Linked DNA regions of Elephas maximus indicus. The protein of the gene in region 4 interacts with the protein of the main gene of each other region in a pairwise test. Links are inferred from orthologs where the notes say so. Each region holds a gene or a part of one and is shown on either strand. Other genes may lie near its edges.

Evidence for each region.
Region 1: the proteins of EMILIN1 (region 4) and protein BEX5-like interact in binary tests that used the Homo sapiens proteins (3 or more experiments, as listed by UniProt). The two-hybrid records come from large-scale screens. The link is inferred for Elephas maximus indicus from reciprocal best matches to the Homo sapiens genes EMILIN1 and BEX5.
Region 2: the proteins of EMILIN1 (region 4) and ZC2HC1C interact in binary tests that used the Homo sapiens proteins (3 or more experiments, as listed by UniProt). The two-hybrid records come from large-scale screens. The link is inferred for Elephas maximus indicus from reciprocal best matches to the Homo sapiens genes EMILIN1 and ZC2HC1C.
Region 3: the proteins of EMILIN1 (region 4) and NMI interact in binary tests that used the Homo sapiens proteins (3 or more experiments, as listed by UniProt). The two-hybrid records come from large-scale screens. The link is inferred for Elephas maximus indicus from reciprocal best matches to the Homo sapiens genes EMILIN1 and NMI.

The regions. Positions count from the first base shown.
Region 1 is NC_064846.1:55,282,408-55,289,990, forward strand, and holds protein BEX5-like, read left to right. Parts: upstream 1-4,822; 5' UTR 4,823-4,892; exon of another isoform or gene 4,893-4,918; intron 4,919-5,971; 5' UTR 5,972-6,034; intron 6,035-6,440; 5' UTR 6,441-6,469; coding exon 6,470-6,811; 3' UTR 6,812-7,065; downstream 7,066-7,583.
Region 2 is NC_064828.1:87,778,002-87,785,571, forward strand, and holds the start of ZC2HC1C (zinc finger C2HC domain-containing protein 1C), read left to right. Parts: upstream 1-4,560; 5' UTR 4,561-4,638; exon of another isoform or gene 4,639-4,714; intron 4,715-4,736; exon of another isoform or gene 4,737-5,183; intron 5,184-5,570; 5' UTR 5,571-5,589; coding exon 5,590-6,924; intron 6,925-7,570. Other genes in the region: DNA mismatch repair protein Mlh3, read right to left, coding at 4,194-4,356.
Region 3 is NC_064824.1:48,472,115-48,479,549, reverse strand, and holds the start of NMI (N-myc-interactor), read left to right. Parts: upstream 1-4,418; coding exon 4,419-4,597; intron 4,598-7,435. UniProt on the Homo sapiens protein: Acts as a signaling pathway regulator involved in innate immune system response.
Region 4 is NC_064830.1:45,440,832-45,448,200, forward strand, and holds the start of EMILIN1 (EMILIN-1), read left to right. Parts: upstream 1-4,350; 5' UTR 4,351-4,822; coding exon 4,823-4,992; intron 4,993-5,943; coding exon 5,944-6,069; intron 6,070-6,528; coding exon 6,529-6,749; intron 6,750-7,369. UniProt on the Homo sapiens protein: Involved in elastic and collagen fibers formation. It is required for EFEMP2 deposition into the extracellular matrix, and collagen network assembly and cross-linking via protein-lysine 6-oxidase/LOX activity.

The DNA.
Region 1 (7,583 bases), on a different chromosome or scaffold from region 4:
CTGCGGAGCTGCTGGGTGGGTTTGAACCACGACCTTTCAGTTAGCGGCTGAGCGCTTAAACATTGCACTAGCAGTGCTCCTTATATAAAAATCAAAAAAAAAAAAACCAAACTCACTGCCGTCGAGTCGATTCCAACTCATAGCAACCCTATAGGACAGAGTAGAACTGCCCCCTAGAGTTTCCAAGGAGCATCTGGAGGATTTGAACCACCGACCTCTTGGTTAGCAGCTGTAGCACTTAACCACTACACCACCAGGGTTTCTGCTCCTTATATACAGAGTAACATTTGTTATATTCTATTTTTAATGGTTTTAGGTTTTTTTATTTAAACATTTTTGTCTATCTTTTAACATATGACAGGAACAAGAGATTTTTTAATTTTTCCAATAGTTAACTAATTATTCCAGCACCATTTCTTCAATAATTTAACTCAAAATAATTCAGTCAGTTTAATAGCATTTCTCCATACTTGGGTCTGTCAATCAGCTTTCTCATCTTTTATTTCTTCTATATTTATTCTGGTACAATATTGTTTTAATATTGTTGTTGTTAGGTGCCATTGAGTCAGTTCTGGCTCATAGCAACCCTATGCACAATAGAACAAAACACTGCCAGGTCCTGCACCATCCTCACAACCATTGGTATGCTTGAGCCAATTGTTGCAGCCACTCTGTCAGCCCATCTCGTTAAGGGTCTTCCTCTTTTTTGCTGACCCTATACTTTACCAAGCATGATGTCCTTCTCCAGAGACTGGTCCCTCCTGATAACATGTCCAAAGTATGGGAGACGAGGTTTCCCCATTCTTGCTTTTAAGGAGCATTCTGGCTGTACTTCTTCCAAAACAGATTTGTTCGTTCTTTTGGCAGTCCATGGTATATTCAATATTCTTCGCCAATGCCATAATTCAAAGGCATCTGTTCTGCTTCAGTCTTCCTTACTCACTTTCCAGCTTTCATATACATATGAAGTGATTGGAAATACCATGGTTTGGGTGAGGCACACCTTAGTCCTTAAAATGACATCTTTGCTTTTTCAGACTTTAAAGAGGTCTTTTGCAGCAGATTTGGCCAATGCAATGTGTCATTTAATTTCTTGAGTGCTGCTTCCATGGACTTGGATTGTGGATCCAAGTAAAATGAAATCCTTTACAACTTCAATAATTTCTCCTTTTATCATTATCATAGCTTCACAATACTTCACAATACTTTTTATATGTCAGCATAACTTCCCAAATTATTGTTTGGAATTGATGAGAGATTTCAGTGCTCTATTGTGAAGTTGCCTTAATACAATTTAGGGAAGACCATCAGTTTGCCATTGGCTCTCAAGATCTGAAAATCTACCAGCAAGACTCTAATTAGACTCAGTGGATCTCCTTATGGAAGGATTGCACAAACAGGGACCCTTCACAAGGGGAACCACCTACTTAAGTTTATATTTCTATGTTCTTAAGAGGAGTTTTTTTTGGAGGGTATATATTTCAGAATTCATTGTCAAAAAGAACATTTCAAGATCTATCCTGAAGTACAACACTGTCAGTGATAGGATAATATCCATACACCTCCAAGAAGACCAGTTAATATGACTATTATTCAAATTTACGCACCATCCACTAAGGCCAAAGATGAAGAAATTGAAGATTTTTACCAACTTCCGCAGTCTGAAATTGATCGAACATGCAATCAGGATGCATTGATAATTACTGGTGACTGGAACGCAAAAGTTGGAAACAAAGAAGAATTGGTAGTTGGAAAATATGGCCTTGGTGATATAAATGATGGCAGAGATTGCATGATAGAATTTTGCAAGACCAGTGACTTCTTCATTGCAAATACATTTTTTCACCAACATAAACAGTGACTATACATGTGGCCCTTGCCAGATGGAATACACAGGAATCAAATCGACTAAATCTGTGGAATGAGATGATGGAAAAGCTCAATATCGTCAGTCAGAACAAGGCTGGGGTGACTGCAGAACAGGCCCTCAGTTGCTCATATGCAAGTTCAAGTTGTAGCTGAAGAAAATCAGAGCAAGTCCACGAGAGCAAAAGTACGACCTTGAGTATATCCTGCCTGAATTTAGAGACCATCTCAAAAACAGATTTCACACATTGAACACCAATGACCAGACGAGTTGTGGAATGACATCGAGGACATCATACATGAAGAAAGCAAAAAGTCATTAAAAAGACAGGAAAGAAAGAAAAGACCTAAATGCATGTCAGAAGAGACTCTGAAACTTGCTCTTGAATGTCGAGTAGTTAAAGCGAAAGGAAGAAATAAGGAAGTAAAAGAGCTGAACAGAAGATTTCAAAGGGTGGCTGGAGAAGACAAAGTATTATAATGACATGTGCAAAGACCTGGAAATAGAAAACCAGAAGGGAAGAACACACTAGGCATTTCTCAAGCTGAAAGAACTGAAGAAAAAATTCAAGCCTTGAGTTGCAATACTGAAGGATTCTACGGGGAAAATATCCAATAATGTACGAAGCATCAAAAGAAGATGGAAGGAATACACAGAGTCACTATACCAAAACAAAATGGTGAACGTTCATTTCAGGAGGTAGCATATGATCAAGAACCGATTGTATTGAAGGAAGAAGTCCAAGCCACACTGAAGGCATTGGCGAAAAATAAACCTCCAGGAATTGACGGAACACCAATTGAGATGTTTCAACAAATGGATGCAGCTCTGGAAGTCCCCACTCATCTATACCAAGAAATTTGGAAGATAGCTACCTGGCCAACTGACTGAAAGAGATGCATATTTATGCCTATTCCCAAGAAAGGTGATCCAACTCAATGCGGAAATTCTTGAACAATATCATTAACATCATATGCAAGTAAAATTTTGCTGAAGATCGTTCAAAAGTGGCTGCAGCAGCATATCAACAGGGAACTGCCAGAAATTCAAGCCGAATTCAGAAGAAGACGTGGAAAGAGGGATATTATCACTGATGTCAGATGGATCCTGGCTGAAAGCAGAGAATACCAGAAAGATGTTTACCTGTGTTTTATTGACTATGCAAAGGCATTCGACTGTGTGGATCATAACAAATTATGGATAACATTGGGAAGAATGGGAATTCCAGAACACTTCATTGTGCTCATGAAGAATATGTACGTGGATCAAGAGGCAGTCGTTCGAACAGAACAAGGGGATACTACACAGTTTAAAGCCAAGAAAGGTGTGCGTCAGGGCTTTATCCTTTCACCATACTTATTCAATCTGTGTGCTGAGCAAATAATCCAAGAAGCTGGACTATATGAAGAAGAACGGGGCATCAGGATTGGAGGAAGACTCATTAACAACCTGCATTATGAAGATGATACAACCTTGTTTGTTGAAAGTGAAGAGGACTTGAAGCACTCACTGATGAAGATCAAAGACTACAGCCTTCAATATGGATTATAGCTCAACATAAAGAACATTAAATCCTCACAACTGGACCAATAAGCAACATCACGATAAACGGAGAAAAGATTAAAGTTGTTAAGGATTTCATCTTTTTTGGATCCACAGTCAATGCCCATGGAAGCCGCAGTCAAGAAATCAAAAGATGCATTGCTTTAGGCAAATCTGCTGCAAAGGACCTCTTTAAAGTCTTAAAAAGCAAAGATATCACTTTGAAGACTAAGGTGCACCTGACCCAAGCAATGGTGTTTTCGATAGCCTCCTATGGATGTGAAAGCTGGACAATGAATAAGGAAGACCGAGGAAGAATTGATGCCTTTGAATTTTGGTGTTGGCGAAGAATGTTGAATATACCATGGACTGCCAAAAGAACAAATAAATAAGAAGTGCAACCAGAATGCTCTTTGGAAGCAAGGATGGTGAGATTATGTCTCCCATACTTTGGACATGTTATCAGGAGGGTTCAGTCCCTGAACATGCTTGGTAAGGTAGAGGGTCAGCGAAAAAGAGGGAGACCCTCAACAAGATGTATTGACACAGTGGCTGCAACAATGAGCTTAAACATAACGATTGTGAGGATGGCGCAGGACGGAGAGTGTTTTGTTCTGTTGTACATAGGGTCGCTATGAGTCTGAACCGACTGGATGGCACCTAACAACAACAAGAACAACATATTTCAGTTAGAGCGTTTGGCTGCTATCCAAAAGGTCGGCAGTTGGAATACACCAGCGACTCCTTGGGAACCCTATCGGGCAGTTCTACTCTGTCCTGTAGGGTGGCTATGAGTCAGAACCGACTCCATGGCAATGGGTTTGGTTTTTGTTTTGGTTATTTAATTATAGCAGCCAGAAAATAAGAATAAGAATGCATTCCGGTGGAAAACAAAACAAAAACAACCATGTCGTCTTATAGAAATTAACACAGAGGAAAATAATTAAGGTGAAAGTTAAAAAAAAAAAAAAAAAGCCACCTCCTACCTATCTTGCAGACTTTCTAGCTTTACAACTCCTCTCCCTCCCATCTCCCCCCACTTCTTGTCTGGGACAAAATTGTTAGGAGAAATGCTGGACTTTACTAGCTTGGGAGTGGAGATGAGAGAAGTGGGCTTTTAAGGGTTAGAAGAAGAAGCAAACCTTCAAAAACTCCAGCAGAAATAAAGGGAAAGGCAAACACAAACTAGAAAATATTATGACCCTATTGGTCTCTGGCATTACTAAATAGGATTAAAAAAAAAAAGGCGGGGGGCAGTAGCCTGTGGTTGTGAAGGGGAAGGCGGGAATAAGGAGAAAGGTGGCCCCGCCCACGCTCCTGCCTCCACCCTCCTGCCGCACTGCAGGTGTGAACTGTAATTGGAGATCTGAGCTCACAGTGACGTGGCCCTTAAGAGACCCACAGTCAAGGAGTGGAGAAGTCTCTCCTTCCAGTTGCGGTGTGGTCATCTTCTGTGGCCTGCAGTCCAGAGAAGGAGGAAGAGGTAAAAGCTGACCCCGATTGTTGCAGGTTGGTGGGCTCTGACTGGCGTGGCGGAGGGCAAAACCAGAGCGGGTCCAGGACTGGATTCTCTCGACCTCTTTCCCCTACGCCCATCCGTTTGGTGTAAGAAATGAAGGATTCGTGGGGAGGAGATCCGGAGCGGCCAGGTTGGGAATAGGAAGCAGCTCGGATTTTCGGGGAGGCAGGCGAGCTGGCAGGCGGTGTCCAGCGGAGCGGAAGGGCAGAGGGAGGGGACGGCGGACCCCGCAGAGGGTCCAGGTCTGCATTCCCGGCATCTCCTCTCAAACCTCGGTGCATTTTGGAGCCAGAAATGGTGGACTACGGGGGCCTGAAGGGGGTACTGCAGAGGAGGGGGACAAGGGCTCGGTCCCTGAACCCCTCCTGTATCCCTCCGTATTGCAGAGGAGGCGGTTGAGCAGGTGAGCTTCTGACTGAGGGAAAGAGGCGGGGAGCTAGAAACTGTTTCTGATCCCTCCAGGTCGGTGTAGGCGTGGGCGCGGCTTGCAGACCTTGGGGTAAGAATGACAAAACTCAGAGACCGCAGTGGGTCCTGGTTTGCAATGCTCACAGTCCCACACTGTGACACCCGCCCTTCGTCCATCTTGATGCATAAAATGGTGGGTAGTGGCAGGGGGTAGGCTCTAGAGAGGGCGTGGGTCCCAGACGGGCCTGGCGGATACCCAGATTGAATTTTTTTTTAATAAACCACGTTTCCACTCAGCAAGCTCTCCTGACTTCCTTGCCTCGCATGTTGCCCATTTGCGTGCAAGAAATGGTAATTAGGTGATGAGTGTGACGAGACAGCGGGGATAAGGTGCCTAAGGAAGAGGTTAAAATGGTTTAAAAATAATCATCTTTGATTATGATGGGTATTTCTGGAGAGAGAGATAGCACATCACAGGACAGGAAAGGAAGCCCTGAGACAGGATGGTGGAGAACCAGAAGGTGGCAACACTTGATAAGGAGAGCCCTAAATCAACAACGGAGCTGGTGCCCCCATACTGGTCTTTTGATCAAGTGGGCAGTGCCGGCCGGCCATTTTCTCATTTCTGTCTGCAGGTCTTAGGTCCGTTGGCGTGGCAGATCTCAAGGCTAAGAGAAGCCTGCCTTAGATCCCTGCAGGTAAGGGGCTGCCTGGGGCCCTGTTGTATGTGGGTATCAGATCAGAACAGAATCTGGGGTACTCACAGCCCTCCCTGCCAGAGTGGTGGGCCAGTGAGGGGTGAAGAAGGGAGTAGTGGGGCAAGGTCTGGGATGCCCCTGGAGGGCAGATCTGTATCCCAGGAAGCTGAGACCTAGTCTCTCGCTACTGCCCCGCCCACCGGCCGTCCTCCATTTTGGTGCCTGGAGGGGCCAGGGGAAGGATTTGCAGGGAAAATGGTGGATTTGGAGTGGGGAAGGGAGAGGGTGGGTTTGGGGAGCCCCCTAAAGGGCTCACAAAATCAGGTGGGAAAACCTTTACCAGCCAGAGCTCTGAAACCTGTTGTTATCAAGCATTCGATTCCTTTTCTTGCTTTTTTTCTCCTAGGAAGAAGAAGCAGGGAAAAAAATCTCAACATGGAAAACGTCCCCCAGGAAAATGAAGGGAGGGAGCAGGTCCCCATGCAGAATGGAGAGGAAGCCCGCCCTTTGGAAGGGGTTGAAGGCGAGGAGCCTGCAGGAAATATCAGAGGAGGCCAGGCTCCACCTGCGCAGGAGTTTAGAGGGGATGTGCCCAATAGGCTTGTCAATAACATTGATTTGATCGATGGTGATGCAGATGATATGGAACGGTTCATGGAGGAGATGAGAGAGTTAAGGAGGAAAATTAGGGAGCTGCAGCTGAGGTACAGCCTGCGCATTCTTATAGGGGACCCTCCTCACCATGACCATCATGATGAGTTTTGCCTTATGCCTTGAATCATGAGGCTAATAATCATAAACCTCCTGCTTCTCAAACTTAAATTTTCTTGATGTACCCTTAATGTGAACCTTTTGGTGTTCTGTCATTTTCTGACTGGAGATTTCATTTTGACCTGGTCTGTTAGCTTATCTGTCAGCAGGGGAGTTTCATCAATTTGCATGGAAAGATGTTTGTTATATATTGTAAAGTTAATAAAGCAGTTTAAAAAGCAGCCTATAGATAATCTCATTTAAAAGCTTGCGTATTTATAGTATATACATATATATGAATAGAAGAAAAGTATGAAAATATAAAAAACAGAATGTTTTATTTCTATGTGGTAATTAGTCTTGTTTATCTTGGCTTTTTTTATTTTCATTTTTCCAAAATACATATGTAGTACATGTATCAGAAAAAAAGGTTTTAAAAAATTGACAGCATGTGAAGGGAATGGAGACAATAAATACCTGAGACACAACATAAAGACGTGTAAATCTTGTACTACCTCTGGATTTCTTATTTAGAAACACAAACGTGGTACAGTGAAACCTGTGAGAGCTGGAACTCAGCAGGACTGCCTTGTTTTTCTGGGTCTTGCAAGTGTTCTGCCTTTGACCAGGTGCAGTCTTAGCGCTTCTCTATACCTCGTTTTAGTGGAAAATATTTTAATTTTCCTTCTCCGACAGGTTTGTGCCTTACACAGGCTCCAGCTTTTGCAGGTTTTACTATAATTATTACAGATACATTTATTAAAAGTCAGGTTATTCATCTATACCCCGGTGGCTTAGT
Region 2 (7,570 bases), on a different chromosome or scaffold from region 4:
GAAATACATACAGGAAGGAGCACTTAGGATACATTCAATCATTCAATAAGTATTTATTGAGAGACTACTGTGTGCCAGGCACTGCTCTAGGTGCTTGACACACACAAGTGGACAAAACACACAGGATCCCTGCCCCGGAGGAGCTTAGATTCTAAAGGTTAAACATCACAAATAAATAGGATACATACAACCTACAACCTTTCTGCCCTAACTTTTTCTTCCACTCCTCCCCAAATTTGGGGCCATGCCTAGGTCTGGCAGGAGAGACAAATGTACAAAAAGTCCTCCCCGCAAAACAAACCAACCAATCCAAAACCGTTGCTTTCGAGTCCATTCCAACTCATACCGACCCTATAGGACAGAGGAGAACCGCCCCACAGTTTTCAAGGAGCAGCTGGTGCATTTGAACTGCCAACCTTTTGGTTAGCAGCTGAGCTCTTAACCACTAAGCCACCAGGGCTCCACAAGAGGTCCCATTTGGGGTTATTTCTTCTGTGTTCTGGAAGCTGCCCATCATAATCTAATTTACTAAGAAAATTTCAAATAACACTTATCTAAAAAAAGAAAGCACAATAACTTCATGGCTCCAGAATCACAGTTGAGTCAGACAATCTAAGGCAAATAATCAAATTGCATGAGTTTATTTTTGGAAAAGAGAATTGTCTAGGGAGGTTGTGGGTTAGGATGGTTAAAATTAGGGTCCAGTTGTAGGCATCTGAGTCCAGCTAGCCTTATGATTAATACTGTGTATAAAGGAAAGCTGGTATTTCTCGTTGCTATTTGGACTGCTTGTATACATTACCTCCCTTCATACCATAACCCTCCACATGTGAATATGCCAGGTTGGCTGGTTTGGTGAGACAGGCTTCCAATGGAGGCTCTGGTGAGTCATCACTCCACTAGCTTTCCACTATAAGGAGCCCTGGTGGTGCTATAGTTAAGCCCTCAGCTGCTATCTGAAAGATTGGCAGTTCAAGCCCACCCATCAGGTGTGCAGGAGAAAGACCTGGCAATCTGTGTCTGTAAAGATTACAGCCTAGAAAACTCTATGGGGCAGTTCTATTCTGTCGCACTGGTCACTATGAGTCAAAATTGACTTGATGGCATCTAACAACAACAGCTTTGTACTATAAAGTGAGAATCCAGATCCTAAAGAATCACAAAGCCTGAGTGCTGGAAGGGGCCTGGACAGGATGTTATGCTTGGCAATATTTGAAAACAATGCTAAGCAAAGTACCTGGCCGATGTTATTTCTTTTTCTAAAATTTGTTTTTTAAAATAAATTTTTTCTATAGAATTAAAAACTTACGTAGTATCTACAAGGTGCAGGACACTGGAGGATATACAAAGATGAATGATGCATAGTCTTTGCCTCCAAAGAGTTTTTAATTTAGTCTAAAGAACAAATATGCATGCAAATAATGACAATACAATGGACAACATGGTAATTCAATTCCACGAACACCCATTGAGAGTCATCATGAGCTTGTCTTGTGCTATAACAAGGACAGAAAATAGTATGCAAGCACAAAGGAGCAAAGAGATTAATTCTGACTGGAAAGCTTGAAAAGGCTTCTAGGAGGAAGCAGCATTTTATCCAAAGTTACACAACCACAACCTGTAAGTGGTGGAGCTGGGATTTAGCCCGAGGCAGTCTGAGTCTGGAACCTATCTCTATAAATCATATGATCTACCACCTCCCAGTACTAGGAGCTGTGGTAAGATATTACCACTGAGGTGAGAGAGTGCAAGCAGATTACCACTAGAGGCTCTCAACCATAGCTGCTCAGTAGGCCCTTTGGGGAAGTTTCTAAAAATACCAATGCCCAGGCCTCATTACCAGGTACTGCTTTCCAGGTAGTCCCAAAGTGCAGCCAGGGGTGAGAACCACTGGACTAAACTCTGGTATTTATTAAGAGGAGGTAAGGCTGGAAAATCAGGTGGACCTATTCTGGGAGGTTGGAATGCCATGCTAATTACAACTTTATTCTACAGGTAAAGGAGCCAATGTGGAGAAAAATGATAGGATCCTGAGTATTTTGGATGATTATTCTGGCAACAGCATGAAGTATGAGTTGGGGACATTGCAGGGTGGTATTGTCCAGATGAGAAGTGAGGAAGAGCTCACTTAGGACATAAAAATGTAAAGGAGGATCATATATGAGAAACACTGCAGAGGTAAAGTCAACAAAACCTCCCGATGAGTTAGAAGGAAGGGGTGACAAAGAGGGAGGAGTGGAAGATTACTGACGCTCTGAGCAGGACAGGAAATGGGAGAAGTACATTGGGAATGGGAAGATGATCATAAATTTGTTTTCTGTCATATTTAGTTCATGGTTTGTCTTAGTTTCTTAGTGCTGCTATAACAAAAATACCACCAGTGGGTGGTTTTAAAGAATGGAACTTTATTTTCTCACAGTTTAGGAGACTAGAAGTCCAAATTCAGGGCACCAGCTCTAGGGGAAGGCTGTCTCTCTGTCCACTCTGGGGGGAAGGCCCTTGTCTCTTTTCAGCTTCTGTTCCTCAGTTCCTTGGGGATCTTCATATGGGGTGACATCCATCTTTCCCAATTTGTGCTTCTTTGTTTCTATGTCTAAACTGCTCCTTTTATATCTCAGAAGTGATCAGCTTAAGACACACCCTACATTGATATGGCCTTATTAACAAAGAAAACCCTATTCCCAAGTGGGATTACATCACAGGCATAGGGATTAGGATTTATGACACATATTTGGTGGGGGGACACAATTCAATCTATAACAAGGTTCCTGAGAAGCATTCACTTGGAGATGCTAAACTGGCTGTTGGAAATTAAGTCTAGAACTAAGTAGATAGACTGAGGCCTAGAGCTGGATATCATCTAAACAGAGGTGAGAGCTGAAATCTCAACGTTTTGCTGAGATTATTAAAGAACAGACTATTAAGAAATAAGAGGGCTTTGGAGAAAACCTAAATTTAGGAGGCAGGTGGGGTAAGACATAATGCCAGAAACCTAGAAGAAAATGGAGAGAGGACATGGGAGAAGAAATTGAGAGGGCACAGAGGCAAGTAAGAAAAGTGTTTCAAAGGGATAAGTAATCAATAATATCAAATGAGTAGGTTGAAGAAATAGAAACTTTTGTCTTTGGTCATTGGAAGGCCGCTGGTTAAAGTGGAAAGGATGGAAGCCAGACCACAATGGACTGGACAATGAAGGAGAGATGTCAAAGCCGGTGCAGCAAAGGTAGAGTTTTCTATTAAGGGGTCTTGTGGAGAAGAAGAGAAATAAATGGACCCTAACATGAGAAACGGCAGATCAAGAGAAATGAGGTTTGTTTAGCAGGGGGCGGTTAAGCGTATTTTTAAAGCCAAAGAAAAGGAGTATGTGGAGAGGTGTAACTTGGGGTTAACACGAAGTTAAAGTAATGGAGTCAAGTCGTGGAAGGCCCTGGAAGGGATTAATTCAAGAGAACTCCTGAAAAGCGAGACCCTTCCTTGTCAGAAACAGAGGAAAGGAAGTCAGGATGGAGGAAGGCATGCTGGGAAATTCTGCCAGGGCGGAGGGAAGCAGTGGGAGACGACAGGCAGGAAGGGCCCACTCTTAATTAAGATGATTGGGACCGTGAGAAGTATAGAAAACGCCTGGAACTGCACATACGTTGGCAGTAAAGAGTCAACTAGTAATGAATACAAGGGATAAAAGGATTGCCCTGGAGGGCCCACCAAGGAATTTCTTTGTAACACGTGAAGGCTGTAATATGACATGCTGTAGTATTAACACTGACTGCTGCTGTCTACATCATTTTCCATGTGCAGGAATCTTTTGAGTAGTTACAAGAAAAAAGTCAGATGTCTGTTCCAAACAGCTTACACAAGTGAAGTGAAGTGTGAAGAAGACAAATAAACTCTCTTCTGATGTTAGCAATTTATACAGTATCGTTTACTGTTGAAACCAGGTTATAATGATTATTTTCAATCTGGCAGTTAACTTTGTTATCATTACATTTGGCTTAGTCATTTCTGGGTCCTTAAGAAGACCAGGCCAGAGTGACAACGTGAAAAGAACACATCGTAAAATCAAAATAATTAAATTGGCCACAAAAACTCTTCTGAAAAGATACTGCGTAGCAAAACCTAGCCAAGTTGCTACAATTTGACTGCAAGCTCAAACCTATCGGCGAGGAAAAGCACGAGAGATAGTAATACAGCCATACCTGGGGCCTGTGCACAACAGCCGAGAGTGCTGAGAAAGACTATTAGAAGGCCTGCTCCAGCCAAGTGGGTGGACACCGGAATCTGGCAGCAGAATGACTCCAGGGCACATCTAGGGGCTACATCCTTTGCCAGAGAAGGGCACACCCCACGGTCTGGGAACATCGTTCTCAGAAAAACTGCAAGTTCTTTTTTGACAGAGCCCCGGAAAAGCTTCTCCCGCCCCCACCCCCGCTCCCCAAGGAGTTGAAGACTTGGCAGAACACCGGGTCCAGTGACACAGGCTGAGCGCGCTGGCTGCCCCCGCCTCTCCCGACCGCGCGGACTGCGCCTGCGCGCGCTTCCTTGGCGGCGTTCCCGGCGGGAGGCGGGGCTCCGAGCGCTCCACGCCCCTGTCGCCAGGCAACCGGAGTAACAGAGGCCCGCCGAGGGCGCCTGCGCAGCACGGTCGGTAGGGGTCCTGCGGTCCGGTAGACTAGGTCCTGGGGCTTACTCCGAGCGGGAGCGGTCCCCGGAGCCTCAGGTACGGCGGAGGGGAGGGGAAGACATGGGGTCAGCACCTCGACGTCCTGACTGCCCAACCGCCAGGGGCAGGGAGCGAGGGCCTGTCCCCGAAAGTGGAGTCCCCAGTGGGGGCGCCCGGTTGACCCCCCAGGACCGAACGTGACTTCCGCTTTCTGGATCTAAACGCAGCCGCGGCAGAGTCAGGTGGCCTCTACCTCTCAGGGTACACTCTCGCCGCTGTCTGCCCGCGGGGACTCCTTGGATGAGGGTTTGACAACCAGGCGCCGGTTCCTGGCCCTGAGCGGCCTCTGTGCACTTTGGAACCAATTATGGTCCCAGCAGGAGGGAACTGGACAGCTCTTTATGCCAGTCACTTAACTCGGGGCCGCCGCTTTCTAATTTGCAAAGTGGTGGAGCGGGACTCGAACTCCTAAGGTACCTAAGCTCCGGTCATGTAACTCTAACTGGCTGAACCCCTCAGTTTACAGGTAAAGAAACTTGGGGCCCGCAGGGGGCGGGTCGCTTAACCTGGGTCACGGACCTAAAACCTGACTTCCAATCCAATGCTCTTTTCACCTACTATGAATAATACTGTGTACGACAGGAGCAGCCACTGTGTATGGCAGAGGTTGGTCCTGGTGGAAAGGAAAGCTAGGGGTAGGAAGGCAACACTCGTGTCACATTTGTTATTCTATCTTTAGGGGCTCACATAATAGGCACTGACAAAATGCTAATTGGATGGAACTCTGGCAGACCCAGCACCACTGTCCCAAAAAAGTTTAAGGGAAAACGTGGGTTGGGCAAATGTAGGAAGTTTACTTTAGCAGCCTGGAGTGAACCTCAGACAAACTCTTCACGTTTTAACTCTCCCCTAGGCTTCAGTCCAGGCCCTGAATGGCTGGTCTCCAGTTGGCACCACATCTGCCTGTGGGCGTTATGCTCCCATATAATAAAACGGAAGCTTCAGGGCTCCACTCAACCAAGCAAGACCTTTATGAACAAAGTGACTCTTCCCAGCGGTCCTCAGTGGGGCACCAGAGAGACAATATTCAGCGGAAGCTTTGGAGCAACAAAGAGCTGGTGCTGGATAGTCTCTACACTCACCCCAAATGGAACACGCTCACAAAAGCCGGGAGTTACTCTTATCCCCGCTGTGCTGGAATCAGCCAGCAAGATTCAGGAACCAATTCCCAGGGCCAAGGAAAGGATTTGTTTTACTCCTCAGACCCTCAATCCTGGCATCCCAAAGCAAATAACCAAGACACCATCCCCTTTACAAAGAAGCGAGTTGGGGTAGACCGGGCATACCCACTGAAACCTGTGGTCTACCGGAAGTCTCATAGTACAGGTGAGACTGGTGCTGATGAGGATCAGAATGTCTTTTCAAGGCCCCCTGAGCCAGGAGACTTTTCATACAGCAGCTTTGGTTCAAGGAACCAAGTGAATTCATCTGTGGTTGGTCCTGTTCTTGTTGCCATGCAGGGGCAGAGGGTCAGGGCAAAGCTTGACAGGACTGAGCGGATGCAGATCCAAAGACTAGAAGCTGCAGGGGAGAGCTTAGAGGGGGAAATCCGAAGAAAGGAGACCCTCCTGAGGGAAAAGCTGAAGAAGACGGAGAAGGAACTCAGACGAATCCAGAAGGAAAAGGAACAGGCCGAGGGAAATGAAAAAAGAGAGCTACAGAGAATGACACTCTCCAGGAGGAGAGGTAAAGATAATACTAGCAACACCACGTACAAACCTGTCTTCTCTCCTGAACTCAGGCCTGAAGAGGTGTTCAGCAGAGACAGGAGAGAGAGTGAAACTCGGGGACAGTCGAAAGAAAATTCTAGTCCATTCCAGTTCCCTGATTATGGGATACAGAGGCTCAAAAGGGAAAGACTGATGGCAAGCAATAACAAAATCCAAGACCAAGTCTCAGGGCCATCAACAGAGAAATTTTCTCAGCCTTCAGAAGCACCAGGCAATGCTTTGTGGAGATCCACCAGCAATTCCAGCCTGTTCAGGGGACCAGACTCCTCAGGCTACAGCTGTTCCTCTGAAGAGCCCAAACTCGGCGAGTGCAGCCACTGTGGACGCAAGTTTCTCTTGCTCAGGCTGGAGAGACACTCCAACGTTTGCAGCAGGATGCAGGGTTCCAAGAGGAAAGTGTTTGATTCCTCCAAGGCCCGGGCTAAGGGCACAGAACTAGAGCAGTACCTGAACTGGAAGGGACCAGCCTCAGTCAAGGTAATGAGAGCCATATCAGTTTGACTTTATGTGAAGAGTATTTTAAGGGTCTGTTATATCCTCACCAGTTTCCTTTAGAAAAATTTCATGTGTCATGTAGGGAGAAGGTGAGCATTAATATTTATTAGTTGCTGCCCATGTCCACTCACTGTGATGGGAGCTTTTTATATCCTCCTTACCACACTTTGTGAAAATCTCATTATCTCTAATTTTATCAGTTAAAAAATCCAGGCTCAGAGAGGGTAAGTAACTTACTTAAGGTCACAAACAGTTTTAAATAACAGAAGCAACATATAAATTTGGGTCTGAGTGACTCCAAAATTTAGGCTTCAAGTATGTGCTCTTGATTATAATCATAATAAATGTTTACTGCAGAAAACTTAAAAAACCATATATATATGTGTGTACATATATAAAATATTTTACCTCCCTGAAAGAACTCTTTGTTCTTTGCAACATACTCTGCCACATCCCAGGACTATGATCTGTTCCCACTCCTGCGACCTTACCTATTCTTACAAGAGTAGCTCAGTCTTGATATACCTTCTTGGTAAATACATGAAATGCAAGCAAGTTTGGAATTCTTCTTCTCCCCATTTAGAGTGTAAACACCTTTCTTTTTGGTTATCTTTCAAAATGTCCCGAG
Region 3 (7,435 bases), on a different chromosome or scaffold from region 4:
TGGTTTGCATTTGGCTGGTAACTGAAAAGTTGGAAGTTCAAACCCATCCAACAGCACTGCAGAATAAAAGGTTTCTGCAGAATAATTAGCTTCTGTAAAGATTACTGCCAAGAAAAGTCTGTGGAGCAGTTCTACTCTGTAATACGTGAGGTTGCCATGAGTCAGAATCGACAACAACACAAGATAACACATCTGTTCTCCTGTTATTTTTACTTATTTAGAACACAACATTATGCTTTAGGTGAACGTTTACATAGAAAACTAGTTTTCCAATCAAAGATTCTTATACAAATTTTTCCCTTACATTAATTACAGTCCCTGCAATGTGTCAGTACAATTCCCATTTCCTCCCTGGGATCCCCATTTCCCTCTCCCTCCCAGCCTTCTCATCTTTGACTTTGGTCAAATGTTGCCCTTTTGGTCTCATATAGTTGATTGTTCTAAGAGGCACATTCTTTACTGGTGTCTATATGAAGAAGAATGTGGTATCAAGGTTGGAGGAAGACCCATTAGCAACCTGCAATATGTAGATGACAAAACCTTGGTTGCTGAAAGTGAAGAGGACATGAGCACTTACTGATGAAGATTGAAGACTACAACCTTCAGTACGGATTACACCTCAACATAAAGAAAACAAAAAATCCTCACAACTGGACCAATAAACAACATCATGATGAACAGAAAAAATATTGAAGTTGTCAAAGATTTCACTTTACTTGACTCCATAATCAACGCCCATGGAAGCAGCAGTCAGGAAATCAAACGATGCATTGCATTGGGCAAATCTGCTGCAAAAAATATCTTTAAAATGTTAAAAAGCAAAGACGTCACCTTGAAGACTAAGGTGAACCTGACCCAAGCCATAGTATTTTTTAATCACCTCATATATCATGCAAAAAATGGACATTGAGTAAGGAAGACCAAAGAAAAACTGATGCCTTTGAATTATGGTAGTGGTGAAGAATATTGAATATACCATGGACTGCCAGAAGAATGAACAAATTTGTCTTGAAAGAAGTACAGCCAGAATGCTCCTTAGAAGGGAGGATGGTGAGAATCTGTCTCATGTACTTTTGTTAACAGGAGGGATCAGTCCCTGGAGAAGGACATCATGCTTGGTAAAGTAGGGGGGTCAGCAAAAAAGAGAAAGACCCCCAACGAGATGGATTGACACAATGACTGCAACCATGGGCTGGAACATAGCAATGATTGTGAGATGGCGCAGGACCAGGCAATGATTTGCTCTGTTCTACATAGGGTCGCTATGAGTAGGAACTGACTCATAGCACCTAATAACACCTAATGACAGTACCTAACAACAACATTATTTGGCTGAAAGGTGGCTTCTGGGAGTATCTTCAGTTCCAAGCTGGAAGGTGTTTTAAGGCAAAAGTCTCTTGGGTTCCTCCAGTCTGTTCTAGACCAATAAGTCTGGTCTTTTTTTCTTTTTTTTTTTAAATTTTGTTCTACATTTTTTACGCATTCTAACTGGGACATTCTATGTGATCCAGGTCAGAGTGGTTGTTGGTGGTAGCCAGTCATCATCTAGTTCTCCTGGTCTCAGGTCAGAGGAGGCTGTGGTTCCTGTGGGCCATTAGACCTTTGGACTAATTGCTTCCTTGAGTCTTCAGTGTTCTTTGTTCTCCTTTGCTCCAGGGAAATCTCCCACTCTTCTTAATGATGAAATGTTTGGGTGGGCATGAGGCTTGCCAAGTGATAGATTTCACTCCTACATCTAGGGATGGCTGTGACTAATTTCTGGCTGATAGAACGTAAGGAATAAAAGAAGGAATAGGTGAATGCAAATTCTGGAACGTAGAGATGAAAATGTGGGTGAAAGAGGCACCACAGAGATTGCAGAGCAATGTGATAGGAAGTCAGGATCCTTGACACTGTGGAGTTGCCACACCCTTATGCTTTTTTTATGCTTAGAATGTAATGTGGGAGAGAAGTTAACTTTAACTGCTATTTTGTTCAATTCACTCTTAGTACTTTTTGTTGTTGTTGTTTGATTACTTTGTTTTGTTTTACTGCCACCAAAGCTATACCTTAAATAATAGACAACAATATCTTATGTTGAGGAAGTCAAGAATTATGAGGACAGTGATAAAGAGGAAGGGTGAAAATGAAAGGAAGAAAGAAAAGAAATTGTTAAGTTTTTTCGCGTGAGTCATTTTTAACTTTCACTAATATAAAACATCATTCCTTGAAGATATTAAAAAAAAAATTTTTTTTATTCTCATTTTATTTTTAGAACCTTTTAAAGACCTTCTGCGTGCTATGTAACTTTGAATTTTGTTTTAATATAAAAAGGTTTGAGAAAAATAGTGTTATGTTCTATCCGGCAGTTGACAAATCTTAGGTTTATTTTGTTGTTAGTGAGAAAATGGAACTCCTTCCTTCTATCCCTGCATTTGAGTCAGAGATGATTTTATGCAAACTGATTACATTTTTTTAAAAAAATAGCTTTTCTCTGGTGATTCATCATCTTTTTCATTTATTCCTGCACCACGTGTAGGTTCTTGGGTTGGGAGAAGATGATGTTAGGATGATAATGTTTTATTTAACATTGACTGAAAGAGTTCAGAATGCTGATACTACAACTATTGCTTTTAAGAAATAAGAACAGAATACTCTTTAGAGGTTTATTTTTTTCTTTGTTCTTTATTATTTAATAGATGTCTAATTTACAAACAACAAAATATACAAATCTTAAGTGCTCAGTTCAATGAAATTTGATAATTGTATCCACCCATATGGCTACCAACCTAAAACAAGACATAGGAGACTTCCAGCACTTGAGAAAGTTCCCTCATGCTCCATTAAGTCAATATCCTTCATACCTCCAAAGGCAAGCACTGTGGATTTCTTTCATTGCAGATTACTTTTGCCTGTTTTTGGGTACAGATTATCTTTCTTTAGTCTGGAGCTTGCATTCTCTTAGCTGCTTCAGTTGTACATAGACCCACCATTCAATTTTTTTCCTTCTAAATGTTATTTTGTTGTTGTTGTTGAGAATATACACAGTAAAACATAAACCAATTCAACAGTTTCTACATGTACAATTTAGTGACACTGATTACATTCTTCGAGTTGTACAATCATTGACCTACCACTCATTTTGCTGGTAGTCTTCTTGGGCACAGGCTTTAAATAGCATGTAATTTCCTCTGCTTGGGCACCAGTAGATTGATAAACTTCACTTTTATTTAGTGCCCTATTCCTTCATTCTCTGCAACACCACCACTTAAGGTTAAAATATGTTTTTAAACTTTACTAAAGGGTTTGGTAGGTGACATACATTTGTCATTTGTGTACTCTGAATCTTTTGAACACTTTCTCTGTATCTTGATAGTCGTCCATGGTATAAATCCTTGCATCTCAGTGAAGAATCAGACAGAGCTTCCAGCTTCCCTGTTGTTATGGGCATATATGTGTTCATTTATCTGACTTGAATCTCAGCAGAGCCAGTGTTGTTTTCAGGCTGGGAGCTGTGTGGCCAACTTCTCAATAATGGCAGGTGCAGCAGCAGCCTATTTAGCATAGGGCTGAAGGGGTGTCTTAGTCATCTAGTGCTGCTATAACAGAAATATCACAAGTGGATGGCTTCAACAAAGGGAAGCCTACTCTCTCACAGTCCAGTAGACTAGAAGTCCAAATCCAGGGCGTCAGCTCCAGGGGAAGGCCCTCTCTCTCTGTCAGCTCTGGAGGCAGGTCCTTGTCATCAGTCCTCCCCTGGTCCGGGAGCATCCCAGCGCAAAAACCTCAGGTCCAAAGGATGCGCTCTGCTCCTGGCACTGCCCTCTTGGTGGCGTGAGGTTCCCACATCTTTCTGCTCACTTCTCTCTTTTATATCTCAAAAGAGATTGACTTAAAGACACCACCTAATCTTGTAGACTTCATCAGCATAACTGCCACTGATCCATCTTATTACATCATAGTGACAGGATTTACAACACATAAGGAAATTACATCAGAAGATAAAATGGTAGACAATCATACAACGGAATCATGACCTAGTCAAGTTGACAGATATTTTTGGGGGACACAATTCAATACATGACAAGGTTACCCATTTCTGTTAAGTTAATTCCGACTCACAGTAACACCACAGGACACAGTAGAACCGCCCCATGGGGCTTCCAAGGCTGTAAATCTTTACGGAAGTAGCCTGCCACACCTTCTCTTGTGGAGTGGCTAGTGGCTTCAAGCTGTTGACCTTTTCAGTTATCAGCTGAGCACTTAACCACTGTGCCACTAGGGCTCCTTGAATAAATCATGCTTCTCTGTGTCCTATCCCTATGTACTATGTCCTTGCCGCTCACTTCAAGAAATGAGTCTCCACTGTCTGGAATCTGGGTCAGCCTTGACCATGATGCTGTGATGACACCCTGACACACAGGCTAGCCTACTGAAGAATGACAGACCACATGGAAGACCAATGTTCCCCAGGCAACAGCCGGCACTATGGTCTCAGATATGCGAGCAAGACCATCTTGGATCTTCGAGTCCAGCCTGGCTTCGACTTGAATGCAGCTACAAGATCAGCAGCCCAGAGCCCAGATGGGGCCCACAGAACCATTCAGAATGCCAACCTGTAGAATCAGGAGAAAAAAAAATTATTATTTGAAGTTCCTAAACAATAATAGGCTGGTTTGTTACGCAGCAATAGATAACTGAAACAGAAATGTGGGTGCTGTTGCCACACAAATTTAAAGCATTGGGTTTGGATCAGGCAGCAGACTCAGGCTAGAAAGGAAGCAAGAAGACTACTAATGGAGGCTGGAAGAATAGTGAGGAAAATTGCTATGAAGGCTGGGAAAAGGGCAAAAGGTGCCACCATATAGTAGTGAAAACATGAGTGAAAATGTCACCTGCTATAACTTGGAATAAAACTGGAACTGGCTAATGAGAATATTGAAGGTGCCAAATGGCTTCTTTTAGCTGAATATGAAAAGGTATTGTAAAAGAGAGATGACCTAAAGAAGGAGCTATTCTCCTTGCAAGCAGAATAAAGAGGAAGTATGGACTACCCAGGGCTTGCTGGGTTGAAAAATACCACACTTTCTCACTCCTAGATTTTCTATAAGGCAAAAAAATTTCAAGGTAAGAAAGTGTAAAGACCAAATCAGGGGTGCCTACAAGATCCCTTGTTTAGAAAAAAAAAGCTGCAGTCCAGTCATTCCCACTCACGGCGACCCTTTGTGTGTCAGAGTAGAACTGTGCTCCATATGGTTTTCAATGCTGTTTTTTTTTTGGAATCAGATCACCAGGCCTCTCTTCTGAGGCACTTCTGGATGGACTTGAACCTTCAACCTTTTGTACCAGCTGAGCAGTTTAACCCCTTGTACCACCGAGGGACTCTTAAGACTCCTTGTTAAGATCTATGAAAAGTTTAAGATAATGTCTAGTAGAACCTCAGCTAGACAAATGGGCTTCTAAGACCCTTAAGGGTGTTGTCTCATTGTAGCTTCACATGAGGTCATAAGGAAGGAAAAAAGCATTTTCCTAAGTGGAGCCTATAATAAGTAGAGTCACTTCTTTCGTAATGCACATTATGTCCCAGGTCAATGTTAGTCCATTTTGTGTGTCTCTCCCCTCTGTCCCCTCCCCCCATCTCAGTCTACAATTTTTGGAGTAAGAAACAGCGTTGCCCCCTTTTTTTTTCTTTTGCCATTTTGAGTCACACATATCATTCCTAAACCAGTTGCGGTTGAGTTGATTCTGACTCATGGTGATCCCACAAGTGTCAGAGTAGAGCTGTACTCCATAGGGTTTTCAAAGCTGTGATTTTTTGGAAGTAGATAGCAAGGCAACTCTGGGTGAGTTCAAACTGCCAGCCTTTCAGTTAGTAATCAAGCACTTAAGTATCTGTGCCACCCAGGGACTCCTACACCATTCCGAGTTCTATGAAAATTCAATCAAAGCTTCGAAACTCAGGCTTGTAATATTTTTAGGCAAGGGACTTCCTTTCCCCCAGTCCGCAGTTTCCATGTTTATATTAGCCATCTATTGCTATTAAAAAAAAAAAAAAAATTACCATAAATTTAGCAGCTTCTGTGGGTCAAGAATTTGGAAATGCATATTTGTTAGGTGGTTCTGTCTCAGGTTCTCTCAAGAGGTCACAGTCAAGCTGATGGCCAGGACTGTAGTCATCTCAAAGCCTGACTAGGGCTGGGGAATCTGCTTCCAAGCTCACTCATGTGGTTTTGGCAGGCCTCAGTTTTTCACTGGTTGTTGAGTAGAGGCCTCCATTTCTTGCCAGGTGAGCTTTTTCATAGGCTGCCTGAGTATCATTACAACATGGCAGGTGGCTTCCTCTAGAGTGAAAGATCCAAGACAGAGAGCAAGCAAGGGAGGGAGCGCCCAAGTTGTATGCCACTATCTTTTATAACAATCTCAGAAGAAACAACCATTACTTCTGCTGTATGCTATTGGCCACACAGATCAATCCTGGTACAATGTGAGGGGGGCTCAATACAGGAGGGAATACCAAGGGGGAGGGGTCACTGAGCACCATATTAGAGGCTGGCTACCACAGTTATGTGTGTGATTTTTTTTCTCTAGTTACATTTATCTATCTTCATTATTGACCATCGAAGATTAGTTGTGGACTCTTGGGTTCTTATTCTTCTTCATTCCTACACCTGAAACTCCCTAATCCAACATAAATGCAGATCACTGTTTTCTGTGACACTGGGCACTGCTAAAACGGGAGAACAATCATGACGTTTGGTGCCACTAGAAATTTCTGATCTCCATTTTTTTTTTTTTTTATGTTAAGTTGGCCCCCATTGTTCTTCAATAAAACTTTTATACTCGTAAAAATCCGTTGCTGTTGAGTTGATTCCAATTCATAGCAACCCTATAGGACAGAGTAGAAACGCCCCATAGGGTTTCCAAGGAGCAGCCGGTGGATTCCAACTGCTGAACTTTTTTTTGTTTAGCAGCCATAGCTCTTAACCATTGCACCACCAGGGCTTCAACTTTTACACAGCTCTGTTAAGTTTCTTTTATTAATTTCTGTCCTACAAGTATTCTAAACTTTTTTTTTTTCCTCATTACTGTGGGGTGTTACTGCATCTAGGCCGTCTCAGCGGACAGAGCTAGGATCTAAGCTTTTTCTATTTTTCTTTTTCTACCCTGGTCCCTGCGTGAGGACTTTCTTCTAAAAAATTATGAACGAACGTCCTTGCTAATGATTTCTGTAGCAATTATTACGTATCTGAATGCATCAGTGAGTTTAATATATGACTCAGTGCTCCCAGTGAACAAAATTTTGTTACAAGCTGCATCATTGAATCTCAGTAATTATAAAATTAACATTTTTCGAGTGGAGAAACCTGATTTGCCAAACATCACCACGTTTAACATAAACAGCATATTTCATTAAGTCAGGCTTGTAAACGTGGCCCAAGGCAGCAGCTGAATCTGG
Region 4 (7,369 bases):
CCCATCCAGGTTGGCCTGACCCGGTACCCAATTCATATTATCCTTCCCTTTTATTTCCTCCCAATATTCAGTCCTCTAACAGAGGGCATTAGGCATAAAATGTTCCCTTTTGCTGGTGCCCCTGGGAACATGAACTCATTGCTCGGTCAATGGTGGTTGAGGGAATGAATTAGTTGCCTAGTGTGTCTAGTTCCATTGCCACTAGACCCTTGGAAATCCCCAGTTTTGGAGAGGTTATAAAATAGGTCCTGTTCTAGTACCCCAGAGACTTAGCCTTGTTTTGATCTCAAGAACTCTTTTGCCAATTGCATTGGAAATTTTTGGTTGCCTGCCAAAACCACCATACCACCACCACCATATCCTATCTAACCTTCACCTCCATTGTAGCCTGATTGCCCACACCTGAGGCCGGCAATGGGCACCATCCTCCCCAATGAACCTGGAGCAACTAATTTATTTGATACCTCACAAATGTTCATGTCGGCTCTTAGGTTTAGGCTGTCTCCTAATTACAAGACGAAACGAAATGCAACCTACTGCAACTGTACTTCAAAGCCAACATTTTTCACTTGACACAGTTAAAATGTACAACAGATTTTTAAACTTCACGGGCCAGGAGAGGGAATGGAGACAACTGGGCAGTGATAAGATGTCAGGGAGGTCTTTGCAAGCTGCCAAGGGAGAAAAGAGTGAGAAGGGCAGGGAAAGAAAATCCATAGCAACAGTCAGGGAAAATCTGGAGGCGAAGTGGTCTGGCTTCCTGCCAGGGGTGTGGCCAGGGCCTAGAACTGAGGCAGAGACCAAGGACGAAGCTGCAACCTTCCCATGACAACTTTGAAACCGGCAGCTCCTGAGACCGTTTTCCTTAAGTCCCCTTGTGTGCCAGTCTAAGACCTCTAAGGGACAACCACACATTTTTGTTGCTGTTGGTTCCAGCCTTTACTTTCACCATTCTGTCTTTTTGCCAACACTTCTAGCCATCAGGGTCCCATTCTGGGCCATAGGATCTCAGAGGCAGATCACTCAGAGTCACATCGGAGATCTGGTTGCATCCATTCTCATGACTTCCTACTATTGCCTGTAAAAATGATTCCCCGAATCAAGACCCACATTTCTAACCACCTCCTAGACATTTGGAAACCCTGGTGGCATAGTGGTTAAGTGCTACGGCTGCTAACCAAAGGGTCAGCAGTTCGAATCCGCCGGGCCCCCCCAAGGAAACTCTATGGGGCAGTTCTACTCTGTCCTATAGGGTCGCTAGGAGCAGGAATCGACTTGGCGGCACTGGGTTTTCCTAGACATTTATTTCCTCTGGGATATGTTATTCTCATCTTAAACTCACTATGTCCAAACTAAAGTTCTCTCTCTTTCCTTCAAACGTGCACCTCTTCCAGACTTCCCCATCCTGGCTAGAACCCTGGAATCTTCTCTGGTGTCTCCCCTCATCTGGACCCTCATTCCAGAGGCAGTCACCAAGCAGTTACCATCTTCCCATTCTTTCCATGGTCACTGCCACCACCAGAGCCCAAGTCTGCATCACCTTGCAATGTAGAATTTGCAAGGGACCTTAGAAAACTAAGAGCTCCTTCCTTGTATAAGAAGACTGATGCCCAGTGGAGTCATGGGATTTGCCCAAATTTATAATGCTAGTTAGAGGGCCAACTTAATTGTGCTCATGAGGAATCTGTACATGAATCAAGAGGCAGCCATTTGAACAGAACAAAGGGATACTGCATGGTTTAAAGTCAGGAAAGGTGTGCGTCAGGGTTGTATCCTTTCACCATACCTATTCAATCTGTATGCTGAGCAAATAATCTCAGAAGCTGGACTCTGAAGAAGAATGGGGCATCAGGATTGGAGGAAGACTCCTTAACAACCTGCGTTATGCAAATGACACAACCTTGCTTGCTGAAAGTGAAGAGGACTTGAAGCACTTACTAATGAAGATCAAAGACCACGGCCTTTAGTATGGATTGCACCTCAACATAAAGAAAACAAAAATCCTCACAACTGGACCAATGAGCAACATCATGATAAATGGAGAAAAGATTGAAGTTGTCAGGGTTTCCTTTTACTTGGATCCATAATCGACACCCGTGGAAGCAGCAGTCAAGAAATCAAAACAAAAACCGCATTGGGCAAATTGGCTGTAAAAGACCTCTTTAAAGTATTGAATAGCAAAGATGTCACCTTGAGGACTAAGGTGCGCCTGACCCAAGCCATGGTGTTTTCAGTCATTTCATATGCGTGTGAAAGCTGGACAGTGAATAAGGAAGACCCAGGAAGAATTGACTCCTTTGAATTGTGGTGTTGGTGAAGAATATTGAATATACCATGGACTGCCAGAAGAACGAACAGGTCTGGCTTGGAAAAAGTACAGCCAGAATGCTCCTTAGAAGCAAGGATGACAAGACTATGTCTCACATACTTTGAATATATTATCAGGAGGGATCAGTCCCTGGAGAAGGACATCATGCTTGGTAAAATACAGGATCAGTGAAAAAGAAGACGACCCTCATCGAGGTGGATTGACACAGTGGCTCCAACAATGGGCTCAAGCATAGAAACAATTGCGAGGATGGCACAGGACTGGGCAGTGTTTTGTTCTGTTGTGCATGGGGTCGCTATGAATCAGAACTGACACAACCGCGTCTAACAACAACAACAACACAACAACAGTTAGAGGAAGAGCTGGGACTAGTATCCTTGTGCGTTGGCACCCTGCTTATTGCTCTTACTGATAATTTCTTCTTTCTGTGCGTGAATGTATTCTTTTACTCAAAAACTTGTAACCCTAATTTGTCCACAATCTACCTCTCTGACTTTTTTCCTCACTTCTTCCTGACACAAATAAGAACTAATATTTATCGAACATTTATTATGTGCCAGGCACTGTTCTAAATGCTTTACACATATTAATTTGCATAATCCTCAAACATCCATAAAGGGATGTGTTATTATTATCCTGGTGCTACAAATGAGGAAACTGAGGTAGTCCACTGCCTGAGCCTGAAATCTCTCCCTCCCCTCCTCTCTGTTCTTCACTTTCTTTTTTCCAATGCTCGTCAGGTCCTCTCTGTTCCAACAGCTCTACTCTGATTACCCCTAGCATCCAGCTACCTTACCCCTCTTACCCAGAACACTTAATCATCCATTTGCCCTGCCCTCCTTGGCACTCAGTGTATCCTGCCTTGCGTTAGTTCTCTGTATCGGTGTTTGTGTCCCATTCCCCGTGAGAGCCCGAGTCACTCCTTAGCGGACAGTGACTGAGTCTTCTATGCCTCTGCTATCTGGGCACTTCTACAGTGCATAGCGCCTGGCATACAGTGCTCTCTTTCTCCTTTCTGTCTAGAGCTCCAGCTTCTCTCTCTTAAGCCTCCCACCACACAGGGAGATCCTGGTCCAGGACACAGCACTGAGGAATAGATAGATGGTGAAGGAGGACCAAGCTTACAGACTCAGGTACCTCACAAGGAGCTTTGAGATCAGGCTAATGGCTGAATGTGACTGAGGACCGTATCTGCTACAGAGGCTATCAGATTTGTCTCCAGGTAGGGAGTGGCTTCCTTTGGTGCTGTACAGATAAGTCCCAATTCACCCCACCCCCAGTTATGACCTGACCGTCCTCACCATGGCCAGCCTGGACCCATAGTCATTTGGTCCTTGAAGAAGGAGATTCTCCTGTTGCCTGTGTCCTTTCCACTGTTGGACAGAAGACTGCCCTCCTCCCATCTCCAGATTCCTGTCTTCCTCTTCTGTGTTCTCTGAATTTCCTGCCTGCCTCAGTGGAGTCCTTTCTTCCTTTTCCTCCCTGGCCCAGGGCCTCTCTCCCCTCTCCTCCTTTTTCCCAGGACAATGGCCTGGGTTTTTAGATTCTAATCTCAGCCCTACTCTTGAATTGCTGTACTACCTTGGACAAATCACTTCCCTACTCTGGTGTCAATTTTCACATCTATAAAAGGAATCAGATGGACAAGCTGGTGAATGATGTCCTGAGCCCTGCAAGTTCATTCTCTCCTCTACAGTCCTTCTCTCCCCGCTGGGCCCCTCTCCCAGGCGAGGCCTGCCCTAGCCCCAGGAGAGCTGTGGTTCTGGCTCCTGTTGCCTGTCTATGGACCAGCCCTGGGCCTCCTCCCCAGCTCTGGCCCCGGCTCCATGTGGCCCATCTGAGAGGCTGGCCCCAAGCCCAGTGGCAACTCCACATTTCTCTGTTTTTCCTTTTTTTTCCCCCTCTTTCCCTGAGTTAACAAGAAGCAGATGTGGCGCACGATGGTTGGAGAGGTGGGAGGGGAAGGGGGAGGCTGGATCGCCAGCCAGACAAGGGGGAAGGGAGGGGAGTGAGCAAGGGAGGGAGGCAGGAGGCCAGGGCCCGCCCCACAGCCACCCCTTGTGCCTCTGAACAGCCACAGGGGCAAAGCCCTGTCACCCCCAGGATCTGGTCATCAGGGGAAAAGGACAGGGAGACCAGAGAAGAGCCAGCTGGGGCTAGGGGGCGGAGGCCCAGGAAGCAGCATCTGAGAGGGGCAGGGACCAGGCACAGGAGGCCAGGGGCACAGAGAACAAACTCCCCTCAGAAGTGGAGAAGAGGAGAGCGGAAGGAACCAAGGGAGGGACAGACGGGAGCCTGAGGAGGAAAGAGGAGGGGGAGAGGGGTCAGGCCAGGCAGCCAAGGAAGAGACGGTGTGGGGGCCGCAGGCAGGAAGCCTGGGACGGGGACAGCGAGCTCTGTCCTGCCGAGCCGCGGCATCCCCCAGGGCCGGGCAGTGGTGCCAGCTGCCAGGCCGGGATGTGCCACTGAGAGCTACCAAGGAGCGCCCCAACCATGGCCCCCAGCGCCCTCTGGAGCTGCTACCTCTGCTGCCTGCTGACCGCCTCCGCGGGGGCAGCTAGCCACCCTCCTCGTGGCTACAGCCTCTATACGGGGGGCGGCAGGGCCCTCAGCCCCGGGGCGCCCCAAGCCCAGAATGCCCCGCGGCCTGCAAGCAGACACAGGTAAGAGGAGGCCCAGCCCCAGGCTGGAGGTGGATGGGTTGGCTGGTTGGAAGGTGGACATGCTGCCACCGCGTTGGCTACCCTGCCCTGGGCTGTCTCCCCAGGTGTAGGGAAGGGGGGAGAGAGGAAAGCTTATCCATCAGGTAGCTCCTCAAATGCCCACCTTCCCAGAGGTCTGTTTCCAGGGCCCCCTGCACTGATTGGCTCCCGGGTAACCTGAGGGGGATCAGCGCCCACATCCCCCCAGGGGGACCTGTAGTTTGGTGCCCAGGGAAGCCACCCGTAGGGGTGTGGCCAGGCCTTCCTGACAGCTGCCTGGTGAGTGCCAGCCCAGGATCCTTGAGCAGATGTTTTGTCCTTTCTAGGGCTTCCTTGGCCCCATCCAGTAATCTGTAAGTCTGACACCACTCTTGCTCCCGAGCAGGACACAGATCAAAGGCCAGCATGAATGGGGCAAGTGTGTGGAACTGCTAGCCTCAAGGGAGGCAGGGTTCATCAATAGCTTATTCTCTACTTAACCTTGAACTGGATCATGGCCTGCTCCATGTCTTCTCCCCTGAGGCACCGGTGGATGCCAGCATCCAGGGGATCATCCCCAGGGACCTGGCCATCCGGCTCGCACAGGGCATGCCAAGATAAGACTTGAGAATGGGCCAGAAATGGACACAAATAAGGGTGTGAATTCAGAGGCTCTGCAGGTCCCCACAGCCATGAGTACTGACTTCTCTGGTTGTGCTTTTCCATTTTGGGCCTCTCCCATCTTGAAAAGTCTTTATCTGCTCCTGGTGCACAGGAAAGCATGGGAGAGCTGCCCCTGCCAAAGCCCTGGCTCTCGCTGGTTGCCCAGGGCCCTTCATTTTCTGATGTCACTCAGTCCCGCTGGTAGTCCCTGGGGCCTCCTCTGGGGCATGTGTCTCTGGTCCTTGGGCCCAGGTGGGGTTGTGTCTACAGGAACTGGTGTGCCTATGTGGTGACCCGGACAGTGAGCTGTGTCCTTGAGGATGGAGTGGAGACCTTCGTCAAGCCCGACTATCAGCCGTGTGGCTGGGGCCAGCCCCAATGTCCCCGCAGTATCATGTGAGCTCCCTCTGCTGGGGCATGGACTGGGCCAGTGGGCACTTGGTGGGGGCTGACCAAAGGCCAAAATATTGGTGGCCAACTCAGGGAATTCGTACAAAGCAAGCAGGCAGCAAGGGGCAAGACTAGGCAGCCACAGTCAGAGCCATTTTGAGGAGATGCTATGGCAAGTTTGGCTGGTGGGATACCGAGGGCAACCCCACCTAGACCACGTGCCAACCCCCAAATGCCTTCTGTGGGCTGGGGCCATCCTCAAGGAGAGGAGTTCAAAGTTCCAGCACAGGGCAAGGAGAGTAAGAGCAGTGATTTGGCCCTTGGCCAACAAGCTGACAGCTGTCAACTGAGCAAGGCCACATGCTAGACACTAAGGGGGACCCAGCTGCTCATCTCTGAGGACAGGGGCCAGGGCCACTGATAGGACAAGGAGGAAATAAAGAGGCCTCCCTCCACCTCTCCCAGGTACCGAAGCTTCCTCCGCCCTCGATACCGTGTGGCCTACAAGACAGTGTCGGATATGGAGTGGCGGTGCTGTCAGGGGTACGGGGGCGATGATTGTGGTGAGGGTCCTGCCCCAGCGCTGGGCCCCGCTTCTACCACACCACGCCCTCGGCCCCGGCCTGCCCGCCCCAACCTCTCTGGCTCCAGTGCAGGCAGCCACCTCAGTGGGCTAGGGGGAGAAGGTGAGTAGGGAGCTGCTGGGGAGAGAAGTGGGAGACCATCCTAGGTGGAAAATGTGGGGCCGGGTTGCTGAGGAAAACCCCAGACTGCTCTAAGTCAGGGGAAGGAAAGGGAGAGAAGGGAGCTGATGAGATCCCTGAGATTCTCTGTGTGTGTGTGTGTGTGTGTGTGTGGTGTGTGTGTGTGGTGTGTGTGTGTGTGAGAGAGAGAGAGAGAGAGAGACAGAATAGTGCTCACATGCGCCCACTTGTGACCAAGATGCTTCCTCATTGGGAACAGCTGTGGGAGGAAGGGGGATTCCATTGAGAAACTTGGTCCTTGGGGATAGACAGTTGAGACTACAAGTCCTAGCATGCACTGCAACATGTCCCAGGCCCCTCTGGCCTTTGGTGACTGCAGGTCCCAGAATGCAGCAGTCCCTGTTGCTTGCTTTCCCTTGCGTGTGTTCCAGGCACTCCGGATGGGCTGTTTCCCTGCCAGGGAGATAGCAATAACTGTGCTTATTGGCATCCTGGCTGACTAACTAACCCACTACAGCCCCAACAAGCTTGCCATGGAGCCTCTTGTTTGTCCCAGCGGTGTTGTGGGGAGCGCTGCCCAGTAATAGCCACTGTCATGGTGT